Linked DNA regions of Arabidopsis thaliana. The protein of the gene in region 4 purifies or fractionates together with the protein of the main gene of each other region. This does not show direct contact. Each region holds a gene or a part of one and is shown on either strand. Other genes may lie near its edges.

Region 1 (6,891 bases), on a different chromosome or scaffold from region 4:
ACTTTCTTATTTTCTGGGAAAAGTGAGTTTTCAAAACCTATCATTTTGTTCTTCTGTACTCCCATTTTTCTTATTTAAAAAAGAAATCATAAACCTAAAAAGAGATCTATGCAACTCACAATGTCAAGCTCCAAGATGAAAAGCCTCTTGAAAGGGCTCCGATACATTTCTCAAGTATTTGGTAAGTTCACCCTATAGATCTCTTGTTTAATTTCTTCTGATTTTTGTTCGCATAAGAGTTTATACATATGATAAATCCTTTTTTCCTTATATAAAAACTCGAACTTCATGATCAGTTTTGAATTACTATGATGCAAATCACGTAGAAAATTTGCATGCATGCATTGCAAGTACGTTTATATGGATTGAGGATGAATCTAAATGATTGATTATACTTTCTTGTTTCTTTCTTTTAATGATGATAGAAAGTGAAAAAGAAGAAGAAATACAAATCGGAAATCCAACGGACGTAAAACATGTTGCCCATATCGGTTGGGATGGACCATCCGCTAATGCCACCGCACCAAGCTGGGTATGTTTTTACTCTTTTCTACTTCTTTGGTAATTCTTAAAAGGCGTAAACAATAATCGTGATAAAATAGGCAAATGAAAGATTGTTTTATTATCCTACGCATATTTGGATGGATGTGAGCTCTAGATTAATACTTGACTCAAATCTACGAGGTCATATATATTAAAAATTTGACCTAAAACGTTTTCAGAAAATGTCGAATTGATTTGGTTAATGTTATGTGATTTGAAAGATGACTGAGTTCAACTCCGGCGGGGGATTCGAATCTGCTGAAGGAGTCGGAGAAGATGATTCCTCCATAAAATGTATGTCGGAATATGGTGGTCGGTCTAGAGATTTGCCAAACCTACCAAAATCTACGAGGAAAGCAGCGTCCGAGAAAGGTTCTCCGACAAAAGACAAATCATCAGACAAAACTAAACGTCGCTCTTCTAACAAAGGGACATCGTCATCGTCGAGGAGACCAAAGGAAGCCACTGAAGAACAAGACGAGTTGTCTTCTTGGCCTAGTGGATTACCGGAAATTCCAAAGAAATCTAGGAGGAAGAAGAAGTCGACGAAAGAAACCGCGGTTAATGGAGGGTCATCAAGATCGACAAGAAGATCTGATGTCGATAACATGTCGGAATATATGTCTGAGACTGGTTCTGTGAGATCTATGCCTCAATTCGACAATAGAGATGATTTTTGAAAGGAGAGACGACATATATAGAGACTTTGCTGCTAGCTCCAAATGGCTAATTTTCATTGAACACAACACACCAATTGTTAGATTTTCTTGTTCATTCTTGTACTATTATTAACTATGCAAGGAGAATTTAGACAAATATTTTTCGGTGCTATCATCCAAATCACTTGAACATAGATCATCATTGACGTCGATCATAAATATAAAAGAGCATTCTTACAGAACAAATCAACAGCATCTTTCACTTTACTAGAAACCCTATATATGAATAAAAACTTCTTGGACAAGAGCTGAGTAGTGTTAGTGTGATTTTCCTCTTCATCATAGCCCTCAGCAATAGAGCTGCATCACTACAACAATGGAGCTGCAATCCTGGTCAAAAGTTTTTGTAAATAATCTTCTTTCCTTTTGGTAATATAATTAACATTCTATCAAAAAATAAGTTTATCGTTTTGACCGTTAAATTGGAAACAGAGGACAGCTCTGTTTTGTGAAAGCCTTTTGTAGAGAGAGGGATTAATTTTGTTGTTTCAGTGACAGCTATAGTGTGGCTTCCCACAAAAACGATTTTTATTCATGATAGGAACAGTACGTATGAGATAAACTTGAAACCCTAGTATCAACCATATGAGTTGGTTAAATACAAAAAGATATTGAGAATTCTGATTTGAATCTCTTTGGATGGATCACACAAAAAAAGGAGACCAGTTCATTATTGATCTGTTTGAGGAAATGATATCCGCAAGAAAGTGTAAATTGGGCGTCAACCACAAAACAATTAACAAACCGGCTTTTGGTATATATAGAGAGATTAGTGAGCTAAAGCTTTAACCGCTTTCTCAGCTGCATCATCCAAATCATCAGCTGTTATGAGTTTCATTCCACTTTCCTTGAGGATTCTCTTTCCCTGCTCAACATTCGTTCCTTCTAGACGAACCACCACTGGCACTTTCAATGCGACCTGTCCTCGCCATTCCACACAAACACTCGGATTTATTTTCAATCATGAATATATGAAATATTATGGTAACAAGGTTGTTTCTCACTCACCTCTTTTGCAGCGTTCACGATTCCACTAGCAATCACATCACATTTCATTATCCCACCAAATATGTTCACCAAGATTGCTTTCACTTTATCGTCCGATGTCAGTATCTTAAACGCTTCCACCACCTTATTTTTTGACACAAACCTCTATTAAAATTGGTTTTCATTCCAATGATTCCCAAAAGTGAAGAAAGAAAGAAGGTTCCTTTTACCTGGTGCTCAGAAGCATTTCCACCAACGTCAAGGAAATTGGCGGGTGTTCCACCGTGTAATTTAATGATGTCCATGGTTGCCATGGCCAATCCAGCACCATTCACCATGCAACCAATCTCTCCATCTAAACCGATGTAGTTCAGGTCAACTTTAGCAGCAGCCACCTATGAGACACAACACACTATTCCTTTTAACATCCTATCGAATTAACATAACAATGGCTTTCTTGATGATACAAGAGATAGACAGAGACCTCTCGTGGATCCTCCTGTGTTGGATCACGCATGGCGAAAACCTCTTTTTGTCGGAACGCAGCATTATCATCGAAGTTCAATTTGGCATCAGCAGCTACCAATTGATTAGTTGATGTCTCCGCAAGGGGATTGATCTACAAGAGAAATTTGGAGGTTCAACAAAAGATATTTATAACTGAAGAAGTGTGTAGAAAAAAGACAGTGAGAGAGAACTCACTTCCAACATTGTGCAGTCAGTCTTGCGGAAGAGTTCGTATAGCTTCTTCACTTGTTCAATCGAATCTTTTCTGTCAGCAGCTTTGGGAGCCAGACCATCCACAACCTTAGCAGCATCTTCATCAGTGATTCCTGCAAATACATCAATTGGTACCTACGCAAAACCATGACTTGAGGTGTCAAAAACCCGCATGAGAAAGAATCTCAGAATGATATTTACTGGAGATCAGACCACCAAATACGAATCAAACAGTAACAACCTTGATGATCATGTCAGGGAACTTCTCAGCAAGATCTTCAATACTGGTACCACCCTTTTTACAGGCAATGATCAACTGATATAGGAAAGGAAAGCGTTTTAGATATTACAGCAGGGTATGAAAACAGCATGCCTAGAAGTAGGGAAATGAATAGCAGCAGCTCATCATTTGCGTAGTAGCATACCGGTCCAGCAGATTTACGGTCCAGAATAATGGAAAAGTACATCTCATTGACGAGTGACAATTTCTCACACAAGTAAACCTGCTCAAAATGAAGACACAATGAATAAACAAAGGTGCAAGAGCAGTGACAATAATAGAAGAAAAAACACCAATCATGAATAACAGATAACAAACCTTGCTAACTACTTTGCCTTGAGGACCAGTTTGCTTGGTGACAAGTACTTGTCCTAGCATCTTTCCTACAAGTAATAAAGATTTGAAATAGATCAATAACTTGTACAACAACAACAAAAAACAGACTCCAGAAAGCCACAAACAAGAAATCCTGTACAATACCAGCAATCTCTTCAGCCTCATCACGTTTAACAATGTGAACACCACCCTTAAGACCACTCTTGAATGTTCCAAGACCTCTTCCACCAGCCAAAATCTGGCTCTTAACAACCAACTGTATCACACGAAAATGACACTCTTTCAATTAGACAACAACTAATAATAGAGATTAGAATCGAATCCCTCACTGAATTTACCTCGCTTTCATTAGGGAAAACATCTTGAATAGCCTTTTTAACTTCTTCCAACGAAGAAGCAGCTACTCCTTTCGGCACATTAACTCCATATTTCCCCATCAATTCAGCTCCCTGGTTGTATCAGAATCACAATACAAACTTTACATTATCCTAAACCCAGAGAATTCTATCAACCACAAATCAATCAGTGGATCAACACAGAAACAACAGACAAAGACACAGATCGTACTCGAATTCTGACTTGACAAAAGCGAATCTAGGCAACTATCAAATGGAAATGAAGAGAAGAAGAACCTGATACTCGTGGATGTTGAGACGACGAAGCTGTTGGTTCTGCCATTTCCCGGAGATGGAGAGAGATCTGGACACGAGCTTGTTCACCAATCCCCTCATCGTTGGATTTGTTAGTAGTCGAAAAGTAGCCCAAGAGAAAATGAGAAAATGTAGAAAGAGCAGAGAATAGTCGCAGCTATGAATGATCGAGTCTAACCCTAATTTTTTCCTACTTTATGAATTTTCAATTTAACCCTCTCTATTCTTCTATGTCGCCGGCTCATTTAATTCCAAAATATTTTTGGTAACTCTTGTTAGAAAAAATCTAAGATTTTATTTTCAAAAAGTCTATATATGAAAATACCAAAGTACCATTTTAATTCACTAACAATATAACAATAAAAAAACTAAGCAATACAATTTTTCAATAAAAATGCTAACCCACTAGAGATTGACATCAGATATATCGCCGGATAATTTTTTCCTTTATAAATCTATAATTTTATTGTATATAACATCGACTGATTGTGTATTATTTGTAGTATTATTTTACTTGTATATGACTAAATATTTATATGAATAAATTTTATCCGACTTATCGACAAGACAAATTTTTAGTTACTGTATTTTAGATAATAATTTTCAGTTTATTTGGTTTTTTAATTTCCAGTTATTTAATTTTGAGTCTAATTAAAATAAAAAAATGATCATTTATTGTTTTCTCAATACATTTGATATTATTTACTTTCTGAAAAAATGAGGATACTTACAAAAGTTTCAATTATTTATTATGTACTTATGATATTACTGTTATCATCACCAAAATGAGCTAAGCCAAAAGCTTTAGTATTACTGTAAGGAATCTTCCACCGGTACGGTTGAGTAAGTTGAGTAAACCGGGATTACTCAAAAAGAAAAAAATTGTTGTCATTGGAACATAAGCCCCGTTCAGTTAGTCCGATGAGGACCAAGTGAATAACTGTCGTGAATCGAACGGCCATGATGTCATCGACGGAGAGACAACAGAAGCTCCACACACGCGTCTCAGCTTATAGAATCTCTCCACCGCATGATTCTCTCGTTACCGAGGCCGCATCTCTGCGAAAAGTGGCCCGGGGACTTTCCTGGGTCGGAACTTAGACAAGCCCATGTGACCCATTCACTTTGTCCAATGACTATTGTTACTTGTTTTCGTTTTCGACTAAATATATACACAACTGATATTTTGAAACTACCGATGTGGGACAAACCCCCCAAAAATATAAACATTCTTCTAAATCTGACCAAAATATAGTAATTTAGTAAAATTCGACTAAACAGTCTACTCAAAACTCATTGCTCTGTGTATTTATTAGTCCACATGATTATTCTCTCATATAAGTTAAATTGAATGTGTATACAATAAACCTATAAACTAACTCTAAAACGAACTTCTCAAACTTTGAAATGAACATGTTTTAGAAAGAATGCAAAATATGGTACAACCTTGACGCATTAGATCAAGAAGGTGGCTTCAAGTTCCTAATTGCAGCGGCCATGATCTGAAATAATTCCACATGTGAAATAAAATCAGACAACAACAAAGTCAACAATTATTGTTGTAATTATCGCTTAATGTAAGATAATAAACGTACCCGGGCAGATCCAGGATCAAACCTTCTTTCACCAATTCTTGTATTCCTGTCCTCACTCTTTGTGACTGCACTTCTTTGACTAGATTCAACTTTGCTGCTGCTGTTGCTGCTTTCACTACATACTTCTTCACCCATCTGTGTGCCTCTGTTCTTGCTTCTTGTTCTATAAGTACGGTCAGACGTTCCACCAGAACCAAGAACCGGGTTATCTAGGGATTCTGCTGCTTCATCTTCAATAACTTTGCTCTTGCTTCTTGTTGTGTAATCAAATATATTATTTGTTTGGAGACTTTGTCCCTTCTTAGAAAATTGTGTCGCCGCTGCTTTTGCACCGGCGATTGCAGCTGTGAGGCTGGTAACTTGCTTGATTGCAGCTGTGAGGCTGGTAACTTGCTTTGAATCAAGTTCTTTCTTCTCTTGCATTGTACAAGGAATAGAACCAGGTTTTAAGGAAAACGGGTCTTTTGGGTCAGGAAGAGGGAATTTCACCTTAAAAGAGTTTTGAGAAGGCATAAGACCTCTAGCTGCTGCTACATAAATCTGTTTCATTTAGAAATACAGTAAGTAACTGGTACTAATTTATACTACAACAAGAACCCACCAATCCCTAGGCTTTGAAGAACAGCAAGATTACCTTATTCTCTAAGTTATAGACGCCCTGGTACCCACGCATCTCAAATGGAATAATCAGTTTCTGGAAGAGTTCACAGAATCAAATGTCAAATAAGTCAATCTAAACAAAACAGTAACAGCCAAAAGATGAAGTGACTTTCACCTGTGGCTTCTCACATAGCCAACAAAAGTTAGTTTGTCCTTCAAGCCTCACCTATTACATACCAAAACAACAGTTGAGGTTTTTGCTTATTATACTAAAGAATCATCGATAACGAGCTGTTTTCAATGTCAAAGAATAGAACACAGTAATAAGGAAAATTGTTGTACCCCTTGAGGTAAAGCATCCCAGTTCTGAAGCTCATCGGAGGTGACACATCCAACAACCTCAACACATCCTATACCAACGAAACCGTATTCAAATATGTTCCAAGCAAAATCAGGTCTTG
Region 2 (6,113 bases), on a different chromosome or scaffold from region 4:
TGTAGACTTGTTGTAGCACTGTTTTTCTTTTCCTGACGTCATATTTGTAGCAAGTCCGATTAAATTGTGTAAGTGAGGTTCTTCTGTGACGTGAACACGTGACCTAACATTCTCAGCATATGGGCATTAAAGTTGGGCTAGTCAAATCCATCTGAAATGTGAGTATTGTTCTGCGCCACGACGTCGTTTAACGAACAGCGGTGTTAAACTTTTTTTGTATTTTTTCCTCCAGTGGTGTTAAGCTTCAGACGAAGGCAAGAGTTAATTTAGTTGAACAAAGAAACCATCTTATATTCATTCTGGATATGGCGTTTAGTTATACTACAAATGGTGAATAACAAGAAAAGCTAAACAAAAACAAGTAAAAGCATTCTCAGAATCACCAAAGTTAAGCTCATGAATCTTTATCCTTGGATAAGCTCCATGAGAGTCTGCTTATAACATTTTCGTCTACTATTTTGTAGTGGTGAGACAACCGCCTGTGAATCGTCCCGCAACACTTGTCTACTTTGCTTTGATATTTACTGTACAAAGCCGGTATTGTTACAGATAGGATGGTCCCTGTTCACACCATAAAAAGTATAAACTTCATATAAGAATTTGGTTCACTGAGTTTAAAACAACAATGTCGCAGGAACTAAAACGAGATCAACAAGCCAACGTGGGGGATGAAACTGAAGGATCAAAAAACATAGAAGCTTTTTCCTTTCATTTGCATTTAAGGATCAAGTTACTAACCGATGTAAAGAAGAGTGCAGAGAGATATATAGCTACCAATGGCAGAGAGAAGCCACAGACAAATCACCACCTGCTAAAGAAAAATCGTCAGACCAACAGTTCAGATGCTTAACGGTTCCCATGTCATTTCACTCAACATCATCGTGAGTTTCTGAATGGGTTAGCTTCATAACCTTGAAGAAGAGTCGAAAATCGTTGCCAACTGTGACATCATGAGCCATTACAAGCAAGTGATTGAGTTTTATACGGAAAGAAGCTGCAGCACTATTCACCATTTCCTCTGATAGAACAAGCTCTGGCAACGAATGCAACTGTCTGCTTATAAAGAGATAACAGGTAGAAATCATCACTAATCAGTCACATAACAGCAAAGAATTAAGAAAAAGAAGACTAGTGAAAAGTAGAGCGCACCTATTCCTAAAAGCAGAAACCCGGGCATGAACGAATGATATCATGATCACGATGAGTAAGACATCCGAAGAAACAGATAAGAAAGGCAACCCGGAAAACTCGAATATAAGCCAGGCTACAGTTGATATAATGATAACCCCCAAAGAAAGATGTCGCCTCCTCCATAAGAGCAAGTCAGCAGCTACATCAAAGAACAAAGCCATACAAAAATCACAAACAGTAGCTTTTTGCTGGACCTATGAACTCATCATGCGTATCCAGAGATTTGAATCAATCAATTTCTCATTCAAAATCAAACCTAAACCTAACTTTCACCTGCCAAGTTTTCCATTTTCTACTATACCCAAAATGCTAAATGTACTTACACACATGACGATTTTCACAACCAACCAAAATCAGAAACCCTAACTATTCCAACTATCATCCCCAATTTGAATTTTCTGTTCTGTAAATCCGAGAAAATTCTCATCACAAACTACCAAAATGATGAAAAAACACAAATTCTGGAAAAAAGAACTCGCCTTTGCCACCACCCATGAACTGATGAACCGTAATCTGCCGACCCAACAATCGATAATCCGATGACGATCCTCCTTCATTTCTTCCATCGAAATCACCATCGATATCACTTAAACTATCCATCGGAGAATTAAAAAAAAAAAACCGAATTTACACAAATTCTCCGACTTCCAGGTTCCTATTTCGATCTCGCCGACTCCGATTTGAAATTTACCTTAAAGATACGATCTCAGTACAATGGTTTGTGAAAGCAGCTAGATTGATGGGAGAATGACAGCGATTGGGTGGATTATCAAGGAGGAACCAAATAGAATTGGCTTTCACATGCATCCAACAAATTCAACATTTGGAAATTCTCCGTTTCTAGTCAACTTTCTTCATTTCTTTATTTTTTTCCTGTGAACAAACAAAAAAGTAACATTTAGCCGTCACAAAATATTAAAAATTACGCTTTATTATATTAAGGCCTTGGGCTCACTAATCCAATATTACGGCCCATAAATAAAAATCACATGTCTACGTGTCAAAACAGTCACTTTTCTCTATACATGACAGGCAGTGATATTATCATAACCCTCCACTTATACACATGTTCATTTTTGGCGACCACTAGAAGGAGAAACAAATCTTCATTCCAACAATGGCGATTCGTTGTGTAGCGAGTAGAAAAACCCTAGCCGGCTTGAAGGAGACATCATCGAGGCTATTGAGGATCAGAGGGATTCAGACTTTTACGCTTCCTGATCTTCCTTACGATTATGGCGCATTGGAACCGGCCATTAGTGGAGAGATCATGCAGATTCATCACCAGAAGCATCACCAGGCTTATGTTACTAATTACAATAATGCTCTTGAGCAGCTTGATCAAGCTGTGAACAAGGGAGATGCTTCCACTGTTGTTAAGTTGCAGAGCGCCATCAAATTCAACGGCGGAGGTGTGTTTGTGTGTCTGACTCTCTTTTTTTTTTTTTTTTACGATCTCGATTTCTATGTGTTTGATCGATTGGTTTGTGTTTAGATCGTGTTTGGATGATATTAGCAAATGAAGTAGTTGATTTAGGAGAGAAATTTGGTTTGAACAGTGAAGCTGATGAGTAATTTTGATGAATTGGGATGAAACTTCTGTAAGAATCAATGAAACTTTTATCGGTAATGCAAGCTTTCTTAGATAGCTACTTTTGTTTGCTGGGTCTTGAGATCATAACCAGTTGATTTAGTATAGAACTTTTGTTAGGAACATTGAAGCTGTTGATTAATTTTGATGACTATAGTTTGGTATTAGGATTGTTGCTTCTTGAGCTCCGGACCGGTTGGATTGATAGAAGAGAAATTGGCAGAGAAACTATTGGAAATAAATTGAGTTTTTTGTGTGCTAGAGAATGGGAATTGATCGACTTTATTTCTAACGTGCAGGTCATGTCAACCATTCGATTTTCTGGAAGAACCTTGCTCCTTCCAGTGTGAGCTTGTGTTTTGAGTTTCTGTGTATTTCTTCGATTTTGTTGTTCTGTAATTGATGGTTTGTTTTAATGTATAACAGGAAGGTGGTGGAGAGCCACCAAAAGGATCTCTTGGTAGTGCCATTGACGCTCACTTTGGCTCCCTTGAAGGTCTGGTGAAAAAGATGAGTGCTGAGGGTGCTGCAGTGCAAGGCTCAGGATGGGTGGTCTGTAGTCTAGTTTCACCTTTTTATTTCATCTGCTCACATTGTCGACTCTGGTGCTTTACGTATAATAACCATGGTCCTTGATTCGCTTGTTTCTGTTGATTAATTCAGTGGCTCGGACTAGACAAAGAACTGAAGAAGCTAGTTGTTGACACAACTGCCAATCAGGTAACTTATCCATGATCAGGAATGCGCTATTGAATATGTTCAAAAGATTTCTTGGTACTCATGAACATCTGTGAGAATAATGGGTTTTAAAGAAAAAGAGTTTGTTTCGGTTGGTGCAGGATCCATTAGTGACAAAAGGAGGAAGCTTGGTACCTCTGGTGGGTATAGATGTTTGGGAGCACGCCTACTACTTGCAGGTAACAACACTTTTGATACCTTAAGTCTCATGAGTTAGCTTAAAAGATTAAGCTCTCTAATCAATCTGTATTCTCTCATTCAGTACAAAAATGTGAGGCCTGAGTATCTGAAGAATGTATGGAAAGTGATCAACTGGAAATATGCAAGCGAGGTTTATGAGAAGGAAAACAACTGAATCGTTTACACGATGACATAAGGAGATGAACCAGTTCCAGCTCAGCTTTTGTTTTAAGGTTGTCTGAAACAAACTTACAGTGTCTCTTTGGTTTTTAAGATTTGCTCAACTCAGCTGTGTGGTACGTTGTTTTACAATGAAAGTTTTCAAGAATAAAAATTTGCTATTATTGTCAGAAAGCGCTATTGTTTATTCTACGAAGAAAACAAAACGGAATCTTATTGGTATAATAATTACCTCATTTCAATAAAACAATAACTAATTTTCTCGTTTTTCACTACTCGACACATATATGACAGGAATATTATAACGAAGAAATTTGGGATTAATGAAATTTGTGAAATAATGCATACACACTTGTGTAATAAAAATGCATTATCTTTGTGTCTGCGTTGTGGAAAATGGATCATAGTCAAGTCTCATAAAAAACGCGTTCAATTCAATTTATACATATTTCGCCTAACTTTTGATTCTTTACGCCTTGGCCCCATTCTTATCTTTTAATTTTATCTCTTTCTTGGAAGTTACCCAAACACTAATACAATGTCAATTCAAATGGTATCCTTGACTCTTTTATGCGTTTAACTTAAAAGACTTTCTTAGTCTAAATAAAATTGATACATAATCATAGAAATTAAAAAGCTGATTAACGTTTATCAAAGAAATATTGATGAAACGATACAAGATGATAGTCTAAGTCTTGATCATTTCGACTTACATTACCAAATAAAATCCTCATTTTTCCTAAACTTCTACTGTAAATTTCTGTAATACATGTAACATTTACAATAATCTCTATTTGAAAACGAAAAATCAAAGAATCTCTAAAGAACAAAAAAAGAAAGAAGTAAGAATTAGGACAGAAAACTCTAGAAAGAATAGTGCTAAGTCTTGACGTCGTTAGTTTTCTTGCTGGGTCCAGACCCCGGACGACTCCCTTTCGGAAGAGCATTCAACACCAAGGACCCGAACTTTCCGGCGACAACTTCAGGAACAAAAGAAGAATATTCCGTCTTGGTCTCCTGCTCGCCTCCGCAACCAACCACCGCCGACTTAGAAACAGGAGGGATCTCTCCGGAGAAGATGACTGGAACAAACTCTCCGGGTAAGATCCTCGCCGTCGATAGAGAAACAGAGATGAAAAGAAGAATCAAAAGTAAAGATCTGTTAATCGCCATCTGTAAAAATCTTTTTGTGGACTATTTTTTTGTTGGATTAGTCTTGCTTGGTTTGTAAAATGATGAAGTGGGTGAAGATCAAAGAGAGAGTGTATCCATTATATATATACGGAGTTTGTGAAAGTGCGAAAGGTCAATGGGGGGAGTTGGAAAACTTACGCGGCAAGTGTTCGGACTAAACAATAGTGTTGAATAAATTGGTCCTTTCCATCGAGTCCAATTAAAAATATCATTTTCATTTGTAACGAGTTAACTTTTTTTTGTTTTATTTTTAAAATTCTAAACGTGTGTGGTAAGCTGAAATAAAACATAAAAAAACAATGATTCGGTTATCGATTTTGGTTGAAATGCAATCAATCAACAAAGATGTGCTTAGTTTAGAAATAGGTTTAAATGAAATATTAGAAAACACAAGAGTGAAAGAGACCATTGAGAAACAGAAAACGTTTACATATAATTCGGAAATATGATATCAGTTTATTTTATTTTATTTTTACTTTTTGTCAAAATTGTTGTGCTGAAATTGATAGATTACTTATTATAGTGCATGATCTTGTATTACATGGACATTTTGAATAACATTCACGAGTTTCATCATCAAGTATAATATTAACAAGAACATTTAAACAGAGGTATGCAACTATTGCATCTACTTTGTGAACCCTATAAGTTTGTCGTATGATCATCAAACTATACAAATATTTTCATGAAATGAATGTGCATATCAAATCACAAAATAAAAAGAAGATAAGATTTACACTTTTTAAGTCATTAATGGAATTTCCAACTGCTACCAAGAAAAGCCGTAGCCCACCGTCACTTTTTGACCGCGTCCTTCTTCTTGTTCCCCAAGTCTCTCCCACACTCTCACCGCCTTTACACTTCCATTAACGTGTGTGTGAAAGAGATATAACTTTTGTCTCCTTTATTAGATGAGCCAAATTTTCAACATTAGATTGTAGATAACACGAATGTCATTTGTTGGATATTGCGGTGCAACTTTACGGTTGCTCATGAGAGTTGAAAAATATGACTTAGCAGTCATATTTTCTTCTTGTTT
Region 3 (7,755 bases), on a different chromosome or scaffold from region 4:
CCCACATATCCTTCCTATCCGGATGACTCCAATGGGCCCTCCCCATGGAACATCTGATAGCATGAGCGCAGCTGATGATGCATTAGCTGCCAGTATATCTGGATCCTGCTTCCCATCTGACGATAGAACACTTGCCATTATCTGCATGTGACAAAATTTACAGATGAAGATACCAAAAAACAAACTTTCACATAGATCTATATCCCAAAGATTTTTTAGAAATTTTCATACCTGAACTTCATGGTAAAACCCTGTAGGAAACAATGGTCTGATTGGTCTATCAATGAGCCGGCCACATAACAGCTCCCGCTCCTTTGGTGCACCCTCTCTTCGCATATACGTATTTGGAATCAATCCCTGAGCGTATTGCTTCTCTTGATAGTCAACCTGACAGTAGTTTCCAAGAAGAATCATAAACATCAGTTTAAACAAATCACCATCAACCATTACAGATAAAGCAATTTCAATAGCAGATTCCTGAGAGAATTCTACAAATGTATACAGCATAAAGGTACCAAACATCTCTAGACCATTTCTTAATTCCTCACAGATCATAGATTCCTTAAGACAATTCATTCAAAATCGGTAACTAAAAGGGAAATGGTGGGGAGATTAGTAACATACAGTGAGAGGTAAGAAGTCCCGAGGCGAGTCGGTCTTAGCACAAGTAACAGTAGAGAGAACTTTGGTCTCGTCCATGCCGAGAACAACTGAACCATTAGCAAAGCGAGCGATTTTTCCAGTCTCAAACGAGACCACGCGGGATCCGACTTCGAATTCCTCCTTAAATGATTCCAAAATTTTGGTTCCTGCGGAGACCGGCGAGTCTGGAACAGACGGAGCGAAACCAAGGCGGCCGGAGCAGATGGTGCGAAACCCCAGAGCACGCCATGCGAGGAAATTAGGAAGAGAAGCTGAACTAGCTCGATTCACAATCGATGACATCACACATACACAGAGAGAGTGAGAGATGCGGAGAAGAGAGGGAATGAGAACGGAAAAGGGTTTAACGCACCGGTGAAGTGAGGACTGAGCCGACAACGAAAACTAAAAGAAGGGTTTTAGCAGTCCCGGTCTGGTTCGGTACGGTTCTGCTATAAATAATCGAATTTACAAACATTAAACCGACGCCTATGATCTCTGTTTTAGATTTTGATTCTTGGACAAAATTTCTTCAAGTATACCGTTCATTTTCAACAATTTTAACACCTACTTAACCCAGCAAAACTGATATTGCAAATCGCCATTGATCACTTTTTAGTGTATGTATAAATTAGTGTTGGATACGAAACTGAAAACAGATATTGTCACTCAAATTTTTAAAATAAATTGGAAAAATTAAGCAAAAACGTTTATTTCCAACCAAAATATTCATATAAACCCGCCAATATTATTTTTGTTTTGTGTTGGGTTATGAATTATTGCGAGCATTATTTTTGTATTGTTCCCAATTCCCAGGAATGGTCAGACAAGAGGAAGCTCTTTGAACTGTGTTTTGAGCTTGGAGGCTACTGCATCAATGAACTCTTCCGTGTTCAAAAACAAATCCCTACTCACCCTGCATTAAAAATGTTTTATTAAACCATCAAGAACGATAATAGAACAGTAACAGCATTATAACTTAATCCAGTATGAATCGGTTTGGCTTCTATATGGTTTTCTATTAAAATACACAACTTAATTAGAGTTTTCAGCACATTCATCAGCTTGGAACAGGATCAGTTTGGATTTGATTTCACATTAAAGTTCAAGACAGATTAAGCTCTTTCGTATTTCATGCACATGACCAGATTGTAATAGAAAAGTTGCTGCTAGTGAGAAAAGGAAAGACTACTTACTTGGGACCATGGATTAAAAGGGCAAGATCCTTGGTCATTTTCCCTGTCTCAACAGTGTTTACACATGACGACTCGAGCTTCTTCACGAAATCCATTAATTTCTCGTTCTTATCCAGTTTCGCCCTTGAGAAGCAAAAAGGGTAAAAAAAATCCATCAAAATGAAAATCAAGAGAAACTAGGTTACAAGACACAAGAACGTTGTCAGTGTAAATGCATAAAGAAATGCAGAACTCAGTTAACTAGTAATGTAGACCGTGTGTGAAAGGCAAGAGACCTGTGTTCTAAGCCGCGTGTCCATGCAAATATTGAGGCTATGCTGTTAGTACTGGTTTCTTGTCCCTTTTGGTGCAGTCGGAAATGCCGAGTTACTGTTCCATGAGCCGCTTCCGACTCGAGTGTTTTCCCATCAGCGGACAGCTGAACAAAACATATCATATCAAGACTTTCATTTGCAAAGAAAAATTGAATATTGGCTTTCGGTTAACGATACAAACCAAAACGGAGGTCATGAGGCCTAATGAGCCAAACCCTACATTTAGAAAAGAATAAAGAAAGGAAGCATTAAGTATCTTAGTTGCTGTATCGATACAAAAATAATAATTTTAAGAACTATATTTTTTAATTTATACCTTGGGCAAGAAGATCGCTTTGAACATCACCGTCGTAGTTTTTGCAAGCCCAGACATAGCCACCTTCACTTTTGACTGCGTAAGCCACCATGTCATCAATCAACCGGTGCTCGTACCTAAACCAACAGTATTATTCACATATTACCTTTAATGAATATGTAAAGAAAAAGGACGCAGAACACAATTTTTTAAGAAAAAGGACCAGATTGAGTGCTCTTCAAACTTTTGCTTCCAATTCGCCTCATAAACTTCTTGAAATATGTCCTTAAATCTGTATTGTTCCACCACATATTAAAGCAGCTCGCTTGCTGAAAAGTGAAACCCAGACTTCAAATCACCAAGAAGATAAAAACAAACCTGCCATCATATTTCTTGAGAATTGTGTTCTTGGTGCTCAAGTATAATGGCCATTTCTTAGTTAATGCCATCGCCATAGATGACTCAGCAAAAGCTCTAATTGACTGGCATGTCACAAAACCAGCATGGTTGTCAGAAACCAAAACCATGCCAAAACTAAAGCCAGTTACTAAAAGAGACAGACCTCATCTACGTTGTACATAGCAAGTGCGACACCTGGGCCCTTGAAATCATATACATCTAGCTCCACAGGTGCGTTTCCATCTTCTGGGACTAATTAGACAAGAGATGTATCCACTTAGAATCTGAACTATATGATTGAAGAATCCTCATTGTCTAATGAATATAGTTTGGTATGATCTTACCAAAAACCATTTTCAACTTTCCTGGCCCTTTAATTACTGTATCAGTGGCACGATACTGGTCACCAAAGGCATGTCTACCAATGCATATAGGCTTTTCCCAACCTATAAAGACAAAAGATTTGAGTTCTCATTTGGTATCTCAAAACAGATCCTAACACAGATTCATAACAAGGCAAATAAATTTACCAGGAACAAGCCGGGGGATATTGCTGCACATAATAGGTTCACGGAATACGGTTCCTAGAAAATATAGAACACTGTGTAAGAAATGTGTAGATACTAGATTGTAAAAGAACCTGCTAACAGGATAAAATAAAAAGTCGCAAGCAATTTAACCAAGATATTCCTATTCAGCAAACATGCATTGTTTTTTGACAATACAGAGACAAACCATCTAGAATGTTTCTGATCGTCCCATTAGGACTCCTCCACATTGATTTCAGTCCAAACTCCTTCACTCTACCCTCATCTGCCAAAAATAACATACAGAAGATGTAAAAATGCTTCCTCTGATCGGAACAAGCAGCATATGTGTTGCGATTTGCGAAGGACATCACATACCAGGAGTTATAGTGGCACATTTGATAGCAACATTGTACCTGCAAACATAAAAGTTTTAAGCGCGAAATCAGCTTATTTCACATAGAAATTAAAATGTTTTCTGTTACTAAAAGAATCTAAACCATAGAAAATGCAAAGAATCAATAGCACTTACTTAAGAGCTGCTTCTGCACTTTCAACTGTAACCTTGTCATCAGTAGCATCGCGATTCAGAATCCCCAAGTCGAAGTACTTAATGTCCAAATCCAGATAAGGAAGAATAAGCTGCAAAGACAAGAAATCAGACATGTGAGCTCTGTCAAAAAAAAATGAACCAACTGTTGCAGACTTGGTGATAAATTACATCCTTACTTTCTCCTTTATCATACTCCATATCACCCTCGTCATTTCATCGCCTGAATTTCCACAAAATATAAACAAATTAGAAACATTCTCAAAGATACCAAATTCAGTAAGAACATAAACAAATGACTTATACCAATCCAACCAATTATCTGGAAACTACGATCAAATGTAAGTAAGGAACACTGATTGCGCAAAGAATCTCACCATCCATTTCAACGATAGGATTCTGAACCTGAATTCTATCAGAACCGCCTGAAGAAGCAAAACATCGAACAGCTGATGCGCGATGAAACTGAACGGGAAAAGTCACGCGATTCCTCGAAGCGCCACTAGAGAATATACCGGAACTAAGAAATCTCGAAGAAACGAACGAAGACGATAAACCAGCAGAGGTTGAAGAAGATAACATGGCGGTGAGGCTGGCACGGTACGTGAAAACGCCGTGCGTGAGCTTATTCAGCATCCGAGACTCCGACCTCAACCCAAACTCTCAACTTCGATCACTGAATCAGTGAATCTGCAGCTTTCGGTCGGCAAGTTTATTGCTAAAGTGTGCTCTGAGCTCTCTAATAATCGACGATTCCGGCGAAAAGGCAAGGTAAACAAGAAGGAAAAGAGAGCCGTATAGATTATTTCAGTAGGCCCAACATAAGGCCCAGTAAATTTTTCTGTCTATATAAACCCAAACCGGATTTGCCGGTTCGAAGGTACCAAATCTGTAATATGGTCCGGTTGGTCTCAATGTCCGATTTGATTTGAAAAAAGGAAAGCGAAAACCCTACTTAGAGGTTTTATTTCTTTGTCTGGTCAGATTTATTGTTCTTCCTTCTCACAAAACATTATTACCCAAACTCCATTATCAGCTCAAGTTCTTAGCTTTCTTCGTGATTATTCCTCTGTGAGTATTTCTGTCGTTTTTCGCTATTGTTAAACTGTTTCTTTCAGCTTTTTATCTTATAGAAGCTGGTAATTGTGTTTGGTTCCAGTTTTTTACCCGCTTGTATTAAAAAATTGTGTCTCTTCGTTGAAGTTAGGACTTTTGGATCCGTGAATGGGATTTTTCTAGCTTTTTTCTTAAATTTTAACTTAATCAAACTTTAAATTGTTTTTCTTCTGTGCATCTAAGCTAATTCATTACAATGATTTTGAATCTCAATGTGTTTGATTGGCTGTGCAATATTGCGTAGAATGCGTAGCTTTGGATTGATAGCTAGATTGGGAATATATATCGTGATTTGTGAGAATTCATTGTTTTCTGAGTTAAAAAGTGTGTTGTTTAGTAATTAACAATGAGACTTGGAATTGCAGAGCAGAAGCTGGAACTCAATCTACAAGTGATTTCATAATCTCAAGATGTTACCAACTGAGTCAAAGAAAGCCTTTTCATTCAAAAGGTGTATTGAAGATGGGGACTTAGTTATTGTTTACGAAAGACATGATGTGATGAAACCAGTTAAAGTAAGTAAAGACGGTGTGCTTCAGAACCGTTTTGGTGTGTATAAGCACTCGGATTGGATTGGGAAACCATTAGGGACGAAAGTATTCAGCAACAAGGGTAAATTTGTGTACCTGTTGGCTCCTACTCCTGAACTATGGACATTGGTTTTAAGCCACAGGACTCAAATTCTTTACATTGCGGATATTAGCTTTGTGGTTATGTATCTAGAAGTCGTGCCTGGCTGTGTTGTTCTTGAGTCAGGCACAGGTAGTGGTTCGCTTTCGACCTCACTTGCTCGAGCTGTGGCTCCAACTGGACACGTTTATTCATTTGATTTCCATGAGCAGCGAGCTGTCTCTGCAAGGTAGAAACTTTCGTTTTCTTTAGCTATCTCGTTGTGCTTTTCTTTTGAAGCTATAGTATTTATTCATCCTTTACTTTACTTTGCAACAGGGAAGATTTTGAGAAGACGGGCATAAGTAGTTTAGTAACCGTAGAGGTTAGAGACATTCAAGGAGAGGGTTTTCCTGAGAAACTGTCAGGTTTGGCTGATTCTGTGTTTCTAGACCTTCCACAGCCTTGGCTTGCGGTTCCTTCTGCAGCAAAGATGTTAAAGCAGGATGGAGTTCTATGCTCTTTCTCACCTTGCATCGAGCAAGTACAACGGACTTGTGAAGTCCTCAGATCAGATTTCATTGGTAAGTTTATTCTGATTTACAACATCTCTTTCTACTTTCTTCTCCAACTCAAACTAAAAGAGCTCTAGATCTACACATTATCCGAATGCTCTTGCCTTGGAAGGATCCTAAAAATCAAAGTACTAAAGTAGTGAATTTGGGACTGAACCTCTCCTCGATTTTCAAATCCTAGTGGCTAGTACTAAAATCATGTTGTATAGACTGAAGTTCTGTTCTTTAGTCTACAATTTTTTCCAATATGTATCATCGACTTTCTATGGTCACACATCTTTGGATTAATAAGTCGAAAGGATTGCTTTAAGTAGATAAGTATCTTTAGAGAAATAGTTTGACATTCTTTGGCCTTGGAAAGTCAGGGGAATCAAAACCAACTGTCATAGGCATATAAGTCCTTATTTCCTTGAGAGTTTCATTCTTTCTTATACCGGTTTTTGCTCATGATGAGTTTGTTTTTTGCAGAGATAAGAACGTTTGAGGTGCTTCTCAGAACATATGAAGTGAAGGAAGTGAAAATGGATACCAGTAGCATGGTTGGTGAGAGCCACGAGGAGGACAATGAAGGAATGAGGCCTTGCAAGAGAAAGCACCGTTCAAACGAAAACGACACTGTTTCACAGGACAACTCTTCTAATGCTTCTTCAGTCGTCATGGCTCGGCCTTGTAGTGAAGCAAGAGGTCACACCGGTTACTTAACGTTTGCAAGACTCCAATGTCTAGCTTAGTCCAAATTCTCCAACTACATTATGATATTCATGTATTAGATATTTTCATGATTTGTCTTATTACGCTTTCTTTTTGTTAAAAAAATAATTGCTGTGAATTTGTTTCTAGAATACAAAATTCGAAATTTGGTAATGACAAAACCAAAATCCAAAATTTTGAAATATGATAAATAGTAGTTTCTAGAGATAAATTGTTCTACAAGTAATATATAAATAGAAACGCGTTTCCTTTTCTCGATGGGAGAAGGAGACATGTAATGCACTCTATAAATATCGAAAACGTCTGTTTAATTTTCTTTCTCTTACAATTGTCTATTCACAAACCCTAGAGATCCATTCTTCGAAAGCCTGAGATCAAAATCCAAATTCTTTTTTCCTCTTCTTATAATTTTCCCTTTATCCATCAAGAAATTATGTGTCCCTTGAGATTTGTATTAGTGTTCTTCTCGGCGGTACTCGCAGGATATATCGCGTGGAGGACGGTGAATTCTACGCCGGAACTATTCTCAGACGAGTTATTACAAGCCGAAGCCAAGGAAAAACAAGGACTCGATTTCAAGAGAAAGATGGATAATGGGTTATGGACGTTCGTTGATATGGCTAGCGGAAGATACCTTTGGAGAAATCTCAAGGAGATGCGTCAGAGAAGTCAATGACCGATATAAACAAAGTTTCGCCTGTTTGGCTTCTGATATGTAGAAAGTTGAGAACAAGAAAAATTGTTTCTTCGTTTTCGTAAATCTTGTCCGAATTCATCTGAATTTGGTAGTTTCATTCATTCTTTAATTTGGTATTCATGTA
Region 4 (8,581 bases):
ACTAGTTTATGATGAGAAATGATTGTTGAAATCCGGGGACTTTCTGTAACCGCAGGGCGTTTATAGTCAACATTGGTGATATGATGGAGAGATGGACCAATGGATTGTTTCGGTAAACTTAAACCAGTTTACCTAGTCGTGAGTGCGGTTTTTATGCGTTCTTCACATTTCGTATTTTCTTGTAATGGGTTTAGGTCTACATTGCACAGAGTGATGCCGGTGGGAAAAGAACGTTACTCGGTAGCTTTGTCTTGTTTCTTTCTTTCTAATTTCTATACAAATTGATAAAGTTTTGAGTTATTTAAAGGAAAAGTTTTTTGTAGGTGGTGTTCTTCTTAGATCCCAATCCAGATTGTAATGTGAAATGCTTGGAGAGTTGTTGCAGCGAAACTTGTCCCCCAAGGTATTTCTTCTTGAATCTTAATCCAATTTAAGGGTGTGAGGAGAGGCACGTTACACGTTTGTTAAATCATTTGGTCTTCAAGTGTAAAAGAATAAAAGTTTAGTCCTTCTCTCATAAAGATTTAGTTCCATCGGTGCAGATTCCCGCCTATTCTCGCCGGCGACTATATCAAGGAGCGTTTCAGGCTAACATACGCCACTTCCTAGTCTTATGTTTGTGACGAAATGTAAGAAAAAAATAGTGTTCAAACTTCTACGTACCATAATGTTTAATTAGTGAAACTTATGGAACTTGAAAATGATTAGTCAGTCAAAGTCTCAAAGATAGACACGTTTAAAAGCCGTGGAACTTGAATGGGCGTTTACGTGTTTGGACCATACTCATACACATGGCGAATTTTCTGTGGTTTATAGGGACATTACTGTTTCAATTCAAAAGACAAACATTTTAATATTTACGAGAATAATACGGTTGTATACAAGTGTAATTACTTAACTATACTTTGAAGGAAACACAAATATTAATCAAGTTTTACCATACAGTTGACAAGCAAATGCATTTGACAGACACAAAAACACAAATGAATGTTGACATAGACCATACCCAAAATCACATTTCAATATCAAAATCTATATATATATATATATATATTTATGTATTTTCGTTATTATTTGAACCTGCAAAACGCAGTCACCATTCGGGCCCTTAAATCTTATTTTTATTTTCTTCGAAATGTGCATAACGCTACTATACCTGCAAAGTTGGAACAAAATACTATTTTAAACACAAGATAACAAAACATTATCTTATCTTCAATCTAACTATTTTATCTTCTTTTTATCAACATGTTCTTCAGATGCATGCATTTACTAATTCATATGGAAACACATATGGGAAAAAGAAAAAAAAATTATCCACACATCTGATTTAACGATATTTTAAATTTTATTTTAGTACACAAATACTGAAATACAACCACTTTTTGTCTGTCAAATATCCTTTGTTATACAGCATATAAAATTTTCTATACGTAGATATCCTTTTTTTCTTAGTCAAATATATATATGAGGGGGAAAAAATCACATTATTCCATACTTGCGAGGTTTTATTTGCAAACAACTTAATTTGTTTTCAACATTCGTTGACTAATTAACTTATATTAGGAATATATAATCCAAAATTTATTATTTTCCACGTGGGTTTTATCTATGTCGGAGAGTGGATCTGAGAAAAAGATAAACCCAAAATATATTAATTATAGAAAGAAGAAAAAAAAGAGTCTATATTTAAATCAATTTGTCTTTCTCTTCTTTTATCTCCGAAATAAAAAGCTTAATTGTTCTTCCAACTACTCTGCAATTAAATCGGTAGAGTGAGGCATTGTCCTTCTTTTTCTCCCTCTGTTTTTTTTTTTTTTTTTTCCTATCATCTCTGAGAGTTTTCTCGAGAAACTTTTGAGTGTTTAGCTACTAGATTCTGAATTACGAATCATGGAAGGAATTGATCACCTCGCCGATGAGAGAAACAAAGCAGAGTTCGACGTTGAGGATATGAAGATCGTCTGGGCTGGTTCCCGCCACGCTTTTGAGGTTTCCGATCGAATTGCCCGCCTTGTCGCCAGCGATCCGGTGAATTTCTTCGCGATTCTCGTTGATTTTTGTTCTGGTTTCGTTTGGATTCCGGGAAATGTTTTTGCGGCGAGGGAATATGATTAGGTCTCTCTTAGATTTGTGAATTTCTCAATCTTGTTTATATAGGTATTTGAGAAAAGCAATCGAGCTCGGTTGAGTAGGAAGGAGCTGTTTAAGAGTACGTTGAGAAAATGTGCCCATGCGTTTAAAAGGATTATCGAGCTTCGTCTCAATGGTATGGATTGTTCTCACACACGTATTGTTATCAAGGTTTTTTGATTGCGTCTTATTATTGTGCTCTTTCATTTTTTGTTTGTTACAGAGGAAGAAGCAGGAAGATTGAGGCACTTTATCGACCAGCCTGCCTATGTGGATCTGCACTGGGTACTACCTGCGTCTCATTTATCTTCTGGAGACAGGATTTTGATTCTTTGATTCATTGTTTTTGTATCTCTGCTCTATAGGGAATGTTTGTGCCTGCTATTAAGGGGCAGGGTACAGAGGAGCAGCAGAAGAAGTGGTTGTCGCTGGCCAATAAGATGCAGATTATTGGGTGTTATGCACAGACTGAGCTTGGTCATGGCTCAAATGTTCAAGGACTTGAGACAACTGCCACATTTGATCCCAAGACTGATGAGTTTGTAATTCACACTCCAACTCAGACTGCATCCAAAGTAAGTATACCAAGAAGCCTTTGATTGAGTATTATGCACAGTTTCTCTTGGTTGTGTAAGATTTTCATCTGTCTTGATTGTTTGAATAGTGGTGGCCTGGTGGTTTGGGAAAAGTTTCTACTCATGCTGTTGTTTACGCTCGTCTCATAACTAACGGAAAAGACTACGGTATCCATGGTATGTACCGGGAAAAGTTTCCAGTATTTTTTTTTTGTTCAATTTTTCTTGCTTGGGTATTGCTTTCTTAAACTTTCTCTTCCAGGATTCATCGTGCAACTGCGAAGCTTAGAAGATCATTCTCCTCTTCCGAATATAACTGTTGGTGATATCGGGACAAAGATGGGAAATGGAGCATATAATTCAATGGACAACGGGTTTCTTATGTTTGATCATGTTCGCATTCCTAGAGATCAAATGCTCATGAGGTCCTCTCTCTTTGCCTTTCGGGTCTGATTTTAATTAGCATTCACGATGTAATGATAGTTCTAGAGGAAATTGCTTGTGCATAAACTCGGGCTTATGGTTCTACATTTTTCTCCTCTTTCAAAACGTTTCAGGCTGTCAAAAGTTACAAGAGAAGGAGAATATGTTCCATCGGATGTTCCAAAGCAGCTGGTATATGGTACTATGGTGTATGTGAGACAAACAATTGTGGCTGATGCTTCCAATGCACTATCTCGAGCAGTTTGCATAGCTACAAGATACAGTGCAGTGCGGAGGCAATTTGGCGCACATAATGGTGGCATTGAGACACAGGTACTTATTCAAAAATCAAGGATACGCATGGTTGTTTACACCCATTGATGTTGGATCATAACAAATTTCAAAGTCTATTTTACCTTGAAAAACTTTGCTTGTAAGAATATTTTGCATATTTAGCCAAATTTGTCTGTAAGTTTCTGGTGAACTGTTTTTCTTCGGCTTGGTTTTGCATAGCTTTTTAAAACTCTCATCAACGTCTGCTGACTATTATGTTGGCTAGAAAAGGGAATGTGATATATTTATGCTTGTTGTTATCACAGGTGATTGATTATAAAACTCAGCAGAACAGGCTATTTCCTCTGCTAGCATCTGCATATGCATTTCGATTTGTTGGAGAGTGGCTAAAATGGCTGTACACGGATGTAACTGAAAGACTGGCGGCTAGTGATTTCGCAACTTTGCCTGAGGCTCATGCATGCACTGCAGGATTGAAGTCTCTCACCACCACAGCCACTGCGGTAAGTTCCAGAGCTGATCCTTTATACTCACTAGACTAGATTGATTGGTTTCGTTTCTCTGAGGATCCAACTGCTCACATGTTGGAAGTTTGTTCCCTCCTTGACATTGTTTGGAGGTGTATTTAGAGTTGAAAATTCAGCTTAAGGGTACTATTGGGTGCAGGATGGCATTGAAGAATGTCGTAAGTTATGTGGTGGACATGGATACTTGTGGTGCAGTGGGCTCCCCGAGCTGTTTGCTGTATATGTTCCTGCCTGCACATACGAAGGAGACAATGTTGTGCTGCAATTACAGGTATTTGTCATCAACTGCGAGCTATTCTCACTTACTAGAATAAATCTGTCAGCTCAAATAGATTTCTTAGCATGTGGCTCGTTATCTTATGTCTCTCTGGACTTCTGTCAGCTCAAATTGCTTTCGTATTGTGAGCTTTGTACTTTCTTAGATATGGTTAATTGCAGGTTTATGTCAATTTCTTCTGTTTCATATTTTATTTTGGCTTTTTGTCACCTGCAATTTGTTTTTTTTTGTTTTTTTTCTGGTTGATATGCAAACCACATTTAACCGCTTTTGAAGTGTTTGGTTCATTGTTGTTTCCCCAATGTTTCCGACAATTCAATTCACGCTATTGTTTAGGTTGCTCGATTCCTCATGAAGACAGTCGCCCAGCTGGGATCTGGAAAGGTTCCTGTTGGCACAACTGCTTATATGGGCCGGGCAGCACATCTTTTGCAATGTCGTTCTGGTGTTCAAAAGGGTGAGTTTTCAAGTTTAAATGTCTTTTTCTTCGTCCTGCTACAACTACAAACTAATGATCTTGTCTCAATATAATTCCCGAGTTAATGATAAAGTTGGTTTTTTTTTTTGGGCATGTAGCTGAGGATTGGTTAAACCCTGATGTTGTACTGGAAGCTTTCGAAGCTAGGGCTCTCAGAATGGCTGTTACGTGTGCCAAAAATCTCAGCAAGTTTGAGAATCAGGAACAAGGTACTCTTCTAACTCCATGAATCCAGAACAATTGGTTGCCATGTCAGCTCATAAGCCAAAGGACCAAACTCTCACAAATTCTTCCTGTCTGCAGGATTCCAAGAGCTCTTGGCTGATTTGGTTGAGGCCGCTATTGCTCATTGCCAATTGATTGTTGTTTCCAAGTAATCTTCTTCTTCACCGTTTACACGTATCAAACAAGTTAATGATTCTCCCTCTCAATGTCAGTTCCTGAATTTTGTGATCTTTGTCTTGGTTAGGTTCATAGCGAAACTGGAGCAAGACATAGGTGGCAAAGGAGTGAAGAAACAGCTGAATAATCTGTGTTACATTTATGCTCTTTATCTCCTCCACAAACATCTCGGCGATTTCCTCTCCACTAACTGCATCACTCCCAAACAAGCCTCTCTTGCTAACGACCAGCTCCGTTCCTTATACACTCAGGTTCTTTCTTCCTCTCTCTCTCCATCTCTGCATTTGATTCCTTTTTAAGCTAAGTTTTAACACGTTTTTGTTGCTTCTTTTAGGTCCGGCCTAATGCGGTTGCACTTGTGGACGCCTTCAATTACACCGACCATTACTTGAACTCGGTTCTTGGCCGTTACGACGGTAATGTGTACCCAAAGCTCTTTGAGGAAGCGTTGAAGGATCCATTGAACGACTCGGTGGTTCCTGATGGGTACCAAGAATACCTTCGACCTGTGCTTCAGCAGCAACTTCGTACCGCTAGGCTCTGAAGAGTTTTCTTTGCTTGATACTCGATATGGTTAATCACATTAGACTTGCTTCGTCCTTCTTCTTCGTCTTCTTCTTCTTCTCGCTTTGAATAATTTCGCAGTTTAAAAACTGGCGATGCCCTTATTTATATGTAGCAATGTAATAGTTAATGTACGATCGTCATATGGCGGAATTTTAGTACTATTTTTCGTTTTCAATGCAACATTAATACAATTGATCGTTTCTACTCTGAGAAGGATATGTGGGATATTTGTAATCTTCGTATATAGTCCAATCACATATATTGACATTTCTCTATTGCTTTCGTTAAGATTGTATTATGTAATATATAGGGTTAGGGTTACTTAGGCAAAGTTATTTCAGAAATTATGCAACTTCCATTGTAGAAATTTTTTTTACTCATACGCTGATATTTTAAATAACTGTTCACTCCGTTTTAATTTAGTTGTTGTTTTATCACTTAAGTTTTGTTTTATAATTATTGTTTTGGATTTTCAATGCAGATATTTTGGTAAAAATTTTAGTTTTATCTTCAAACTTTTAATGTCTTAACTAATTAAAAAGTTAGAGAATATATTGAGCATAAAGTAAAAAATTAATTGTTTTCTTAATTTTTGTGCAAAACTTTAAACGACATGTAATTTAAAACAGAAGAAGTATAATTTTTAAAAATGTAATTAAGCTGTAAGAAACAGTGGTTTGTAAACAAAAGAAACCTGTTTTTCATATATCCTTCCATTAAATTTTCACCAAAAACAAAGTTTGGGAGTTAACCCACGATTTCAATGTAATGCGTCGTAGGAAGAAGAAAAATTTGTTTGCAACATCAATATGAAAGAGAAGTTTGCTTAAAATGAAACATGCATATGGAGTTTTCAGGATTGTGCTTTGTTTCAATTAGCATCATTTTCCGACAGAAGACTTCCAGACCTTTATATTAATTAAGCATTTAATAACCGAATTTGGTAGGTAAATTAAAATAGAGCAAACTAATGTTTTGGTTGTAATCACCTTTATCAACCAACTGTTTTAAAAAAACTAAAAAAGAGTTTCAAAAGTGGCATTTATCTTTCATTTTCTAATGGTTAGTAGTTAAAGTGTTTAGGGAATTAAGACATCGACCCGAATTAAATTTTACTTTTTCTAATATATTTTCTTCACCAAGCTAGCTAGCTAATCTGACTTTCTACTTATTTATTCCCTTATTTAAACTTACGTACAGTTTTAACTTTTAAGAGTGTGTCTGTATATAAATCCATTAATCTATATATTATGATATTTATCTTAAATAAATATTATTGGTCGAGATATTTTTATGAAATCTGAACAGAAAACACTCCAAACAATTTACAGTACTTGCCAAAAAAAAATTACAGTAAAAAAATTCTTGATTTCATAAAAAAATCACTCAATTTGTTTACTACTGAATAATCAACATATCTCTATAGTCTTTTCACTTTTATGTAAAACGTTTATTTTTATTTTTATCTTAGTCTTAATCGTCAAATGGACCCCACGATAAAACTAATACGTAACTTGCTCCCTCTATATGATAATGTATACATTTTCAACATCATACTTTGTACATATACTGATATACACTACATGTGTTTACGTCGTTTTGCGTACGTGTGTCGTCCACAGCAATCTTCACTCAAATTCTTTACTAAAAATGCTTAATCTTTAAATTCTATAATATATCAAAAAAACTTCTACAATTATTTAGGAACGTATATCCGCAAATGTGCATAACCTAATCCGTCTATTAAGCAAACGTCCAAGTAAAAAACATTGACTGACAGTTGTTAAATAATATATTTTAAAAAAAAATTATCGTTACTAATAAATGGCTAGTGGGTTCATTCCAATTCTTTCACTTTTATTAATAAGTCTATGTTATTTTATGTCAATATTTAACATTTTCGCATCAAAATGGAGTATATAGGACATACTTTAACGGTTTAACCCCTGCTAAAATGACAAGAATTCAGATATTCAATAACGTGATACAATATATAAAAATATATAGATTATATATATAAACGTAAATACTACTATTATTACCTGAGGCATTTTTTAATGAGTTAACTCTTAAGACGAATTTTATTTTATTGCTAAATTAGTTTTATTTGTCGAAATGTGAATTAAATTAATTAATAAAAAAAGATATTTACAAAAGTGTTTGGTCAAGAAAAGAAACAGAGCAATAATATCAGAACCAAAACCAGAGAAACTTATGAAACAGAGCACACAAAGCTAACGAACTAGGAGTTGCGTCTCGACTGAAACCATAGCTGAAGTAGTCCCTGGAGGCTGGAGCTTCCGATTTTCGAAATAGTGTAGAGGCGTATACTGCTAAATTAATAATGAGATTTAAGATGTATTAATATTAACCTTGTCTTTGTCAAACTTAATCCGAGTGAAAAACGTGGGTTAGCTTTGTAGGCAGACATGGGTCATGGTCGGGCAAACGAAAATATGACATTTTTGGGAAAAAAACAAAAGACGGAAATTAGAAAAATTGTAAAGTAAACTAAAAGTAAATTCGGGCCCACAAGTTACAATTGAATCTAATTTTTTCTAAAATCTACTGTACTGTGAAAATGTCTACACAAACAGAAAAAAACAAATGATCTCAAGTTATATCCACATGTAGTAACTGGTGGATCTACTCGAAAATAGATATTTCAAACTTCAATGAAACGATGGCCAAAGCATATGTCAGAACTTTAAAAGAAATATTATATTATAATTTTAGATAAAATTCTGTTTTTTTCTAACCAATATATTTGTCTAAAAATTGGTTCAAAACCAAACAGAACAAATTAATTTAAATATCGATTTCGGGCTGTTTCAAGTACGTATTTTTTTAATTTGGAAGAACTTGGACGATTTAGGAGAAACGAGTGATAACAGTACACTAGAAT

What was found.
Region 1: the proteins of ACX1 (region 4) and AT2G20420 fractionate together in Arabidopsis thaliana (co-fractionation; one large-scale study listed by BioGRID). This does not show direct contact.
Region 2: the proteins of ACX1 (region 4) and MSD1 fractionate together in Arabidopsis thaliana (co-fractionation; one large-scale study listed by BioGRID). This does not show direct contact.
Region 3: the proteins of ACX1 (region 4) and AT5G14590 fractionate together in Arabidopsis thaliana (co-fractionation; one large-scale study listed by BioGRID). This does not show direct contact.

Annotation. Positions count from the first base shown.
Region 1 is NC_003071.7:8,802,999-8,809,889, reverse strand, and holds AT2G20420 (ATP citrate lyase (ACL) family protein), read right to left. Parts: upstream 4,549-6,891; 5' UTR 4,317-4,548; coding exon 4,218-4,316; intron 4,035-4,217; coding exon 3,924-4,034; intron 3,842-3,923; coding exon 3,730-3,841; intron 3,633-3,729; coding exon 3,568-3,632; intron 3,473-3,567; coding exon 3,395-3,472; intron 3,286-3,394; coding exon 3,211-3,285; intron 3,105-3,210; coding exon 2,952-3,104; intron 2,869-2,951; coding exon 2,734-2,868; intron 2,645-2,733; coding exon 2,480-2,644; intron 2,394-2,479; coding exon 2,271-2,393; intron 2,182-2,270; coding exon 2,032-2,181; 3' UTR 1,719-2,031; downstream 1-1,718. Other genes in the region: RIC6 (ROP-interactive CRIB motif-containing protein 6), read left to right, coding at 109-181, 426-532, 765-1,223; AT2G20410 (RNA-binding ASCH domain protein), read right to left, coding at 5,696-5,737, 5,831-6,370, 6,465-6,524, 6,606-6,656, 6,773-6,840. UniProt on the Arabidopsis thaliana protein: Succinyl-CoA synthetase functions in the citric acid cycle (TCA), coupling the hydrolysis of succinyl-CoA to the synthesis of ATP and thus represents the only step of substrate-level phosphorylation in the TCA.
Region 2 is NC_003074.8:3,415,707-3,421,819, forward strand, and holds MSD1 (manganese superoxide dismutase 1), read left to right. Parts: upstream 1-2,233; 5' UTR 2,234-2,308; coding exon 2,309-2,603; intron 2,604-3,081; coding exon 3,082-3,128; intron 3,129-3,208; coding exon 3,209-3,334; intron 3,335-3,445; coding exon 3,446-3,502; intron 3,503-3,621; coding exon 3,622-3,699; intron 3,700-3,782; coding exon 3,783-3,875; 3' UTR 3,876-4,186; downstream 4,187-6,113. Other genes in the region: AT3G10915 (Reticulon family protein), read right to left, coding at 395-561, 739-808, 912-1,053, 1,150-1,330, 1,671-1,750, 1,883-1,998; AT3G10930 (uncharacterized protein), read right to left, coding at 4,522-4,827. UniProt on the Arabidopsis thaliana protein: Destroys superoxide anion radicals which are normally produced within the cells and which are toxic to biological systems.
Region 3 is NC_003076.8:4,702,069-4,709,823, forward strand, and holds AT5G14590 (Isocitrate/isopropylmalate dehydrogenase family protein), read right to left. Parts: upstream 4,759-7,755; 5' UTR 4,560-4,758; coding exon 4,301-4,559; intron 4,147-4,300; coding exon 4,103-4,146; intron 4,016-4,102; coding exon 3,906-4,015; intron 3,790-3,905; coding exon 3,752-3,789; intron 3,660-3,751; coding exon 3,582-3,659; intron 3,431-3,581; coding exon 3,377-3,430; intron 3,293-3,376; coding exon 3,191-3,292; intron 3,099-3,190; coding exon 3,010-3,098; intron 2,930-3,009; coding exon 2,826-2,929; intron 2,740-2,825; coding exon 2,671-2,739; intron 2,585-2,670; coding exon 2,469-2,584; intron 2,369-2,468; coding exon 2,334-2,368; intron 2,257-2,333; coding exon 2,114-2,256; intron 1,962-2,113; coding exon 1,839-1,961; intron 1,559-1,838; coding exon 1,465-1,558; 3' UTR 1,230-1,464; downstream 1-1,229. Other genes in the region: AT5G14580 (polyribonucleotide nucleotidyltransferase), read right to left, coding at 1-141, 232-387, 625-945; AT5G14600 (S-adenosyl-L-methionine-dependent methyltransferases superfamily protein), read left to right, coding at 5,450-5,898, 5,988-6,232, 6,692-6,954; AT5G14602 (methyltransferase-like protein), read left to right, coding at 7,368-7,610. UniProt on the Arabidopsis thaliana protein: May be involved in response to oxidative stresses.
Region 4 is NC_003075.7:9,422,002-9,430,582, reverse strand, and holds ACX1 (acyl-CoA oxidase 1), read left to right. Parts: upstream 1-1,688; 5' UTR 1,689-1,893; coding exon 1,894-2,031; intron 2,032-2,160; coding exon 2,161-2,269; intron 2,270-2,356; coding exon 2,357-2,418; intron 2,419-2,498; coding exon 2,499-2,708; intron 2,709-2,797; coding exon 2,798-2,885; intron 2,886-2,970; coding exon 2,971-3,133; intron 3,134-3,265; coding exon 3,266-3,464; intron 3,465-3,730; coding exon 3,731-3,928; intron 3,929-4,091; coding exon 4,092-4,223; intron 4,224-4,565; coding exon 4,566-4,686; intron 4,687-4,805; coding exon 4,806-4,916; intron 4,917-5,010; coding exon 5,011-5,080; intron 5,081-5,176; coding exon 5,177-5,360; intron 5,361-5,443; coding exon 5,444-5,653; 3' UTR 5,654-6,049; downstream 6,050-8,581. Other genes in the region: AT4G16765 (2-oxoglutarate (2OG) and Fe(II)-dependent oxygenase superfamily protein), read left to right, coding at 56-112, 195-240, 324-403, 543-609. UniProt on the Arabidopsis thaliana protein: Catalyzes the desaturation of both long- and medium-chain acyl-CoAs to 2-trans-enoyl-CoAs. Most active with C14-CoA. Activity on long-chain mono-unsaturated substrates is 40% higher than with the corresponding saturated substrates.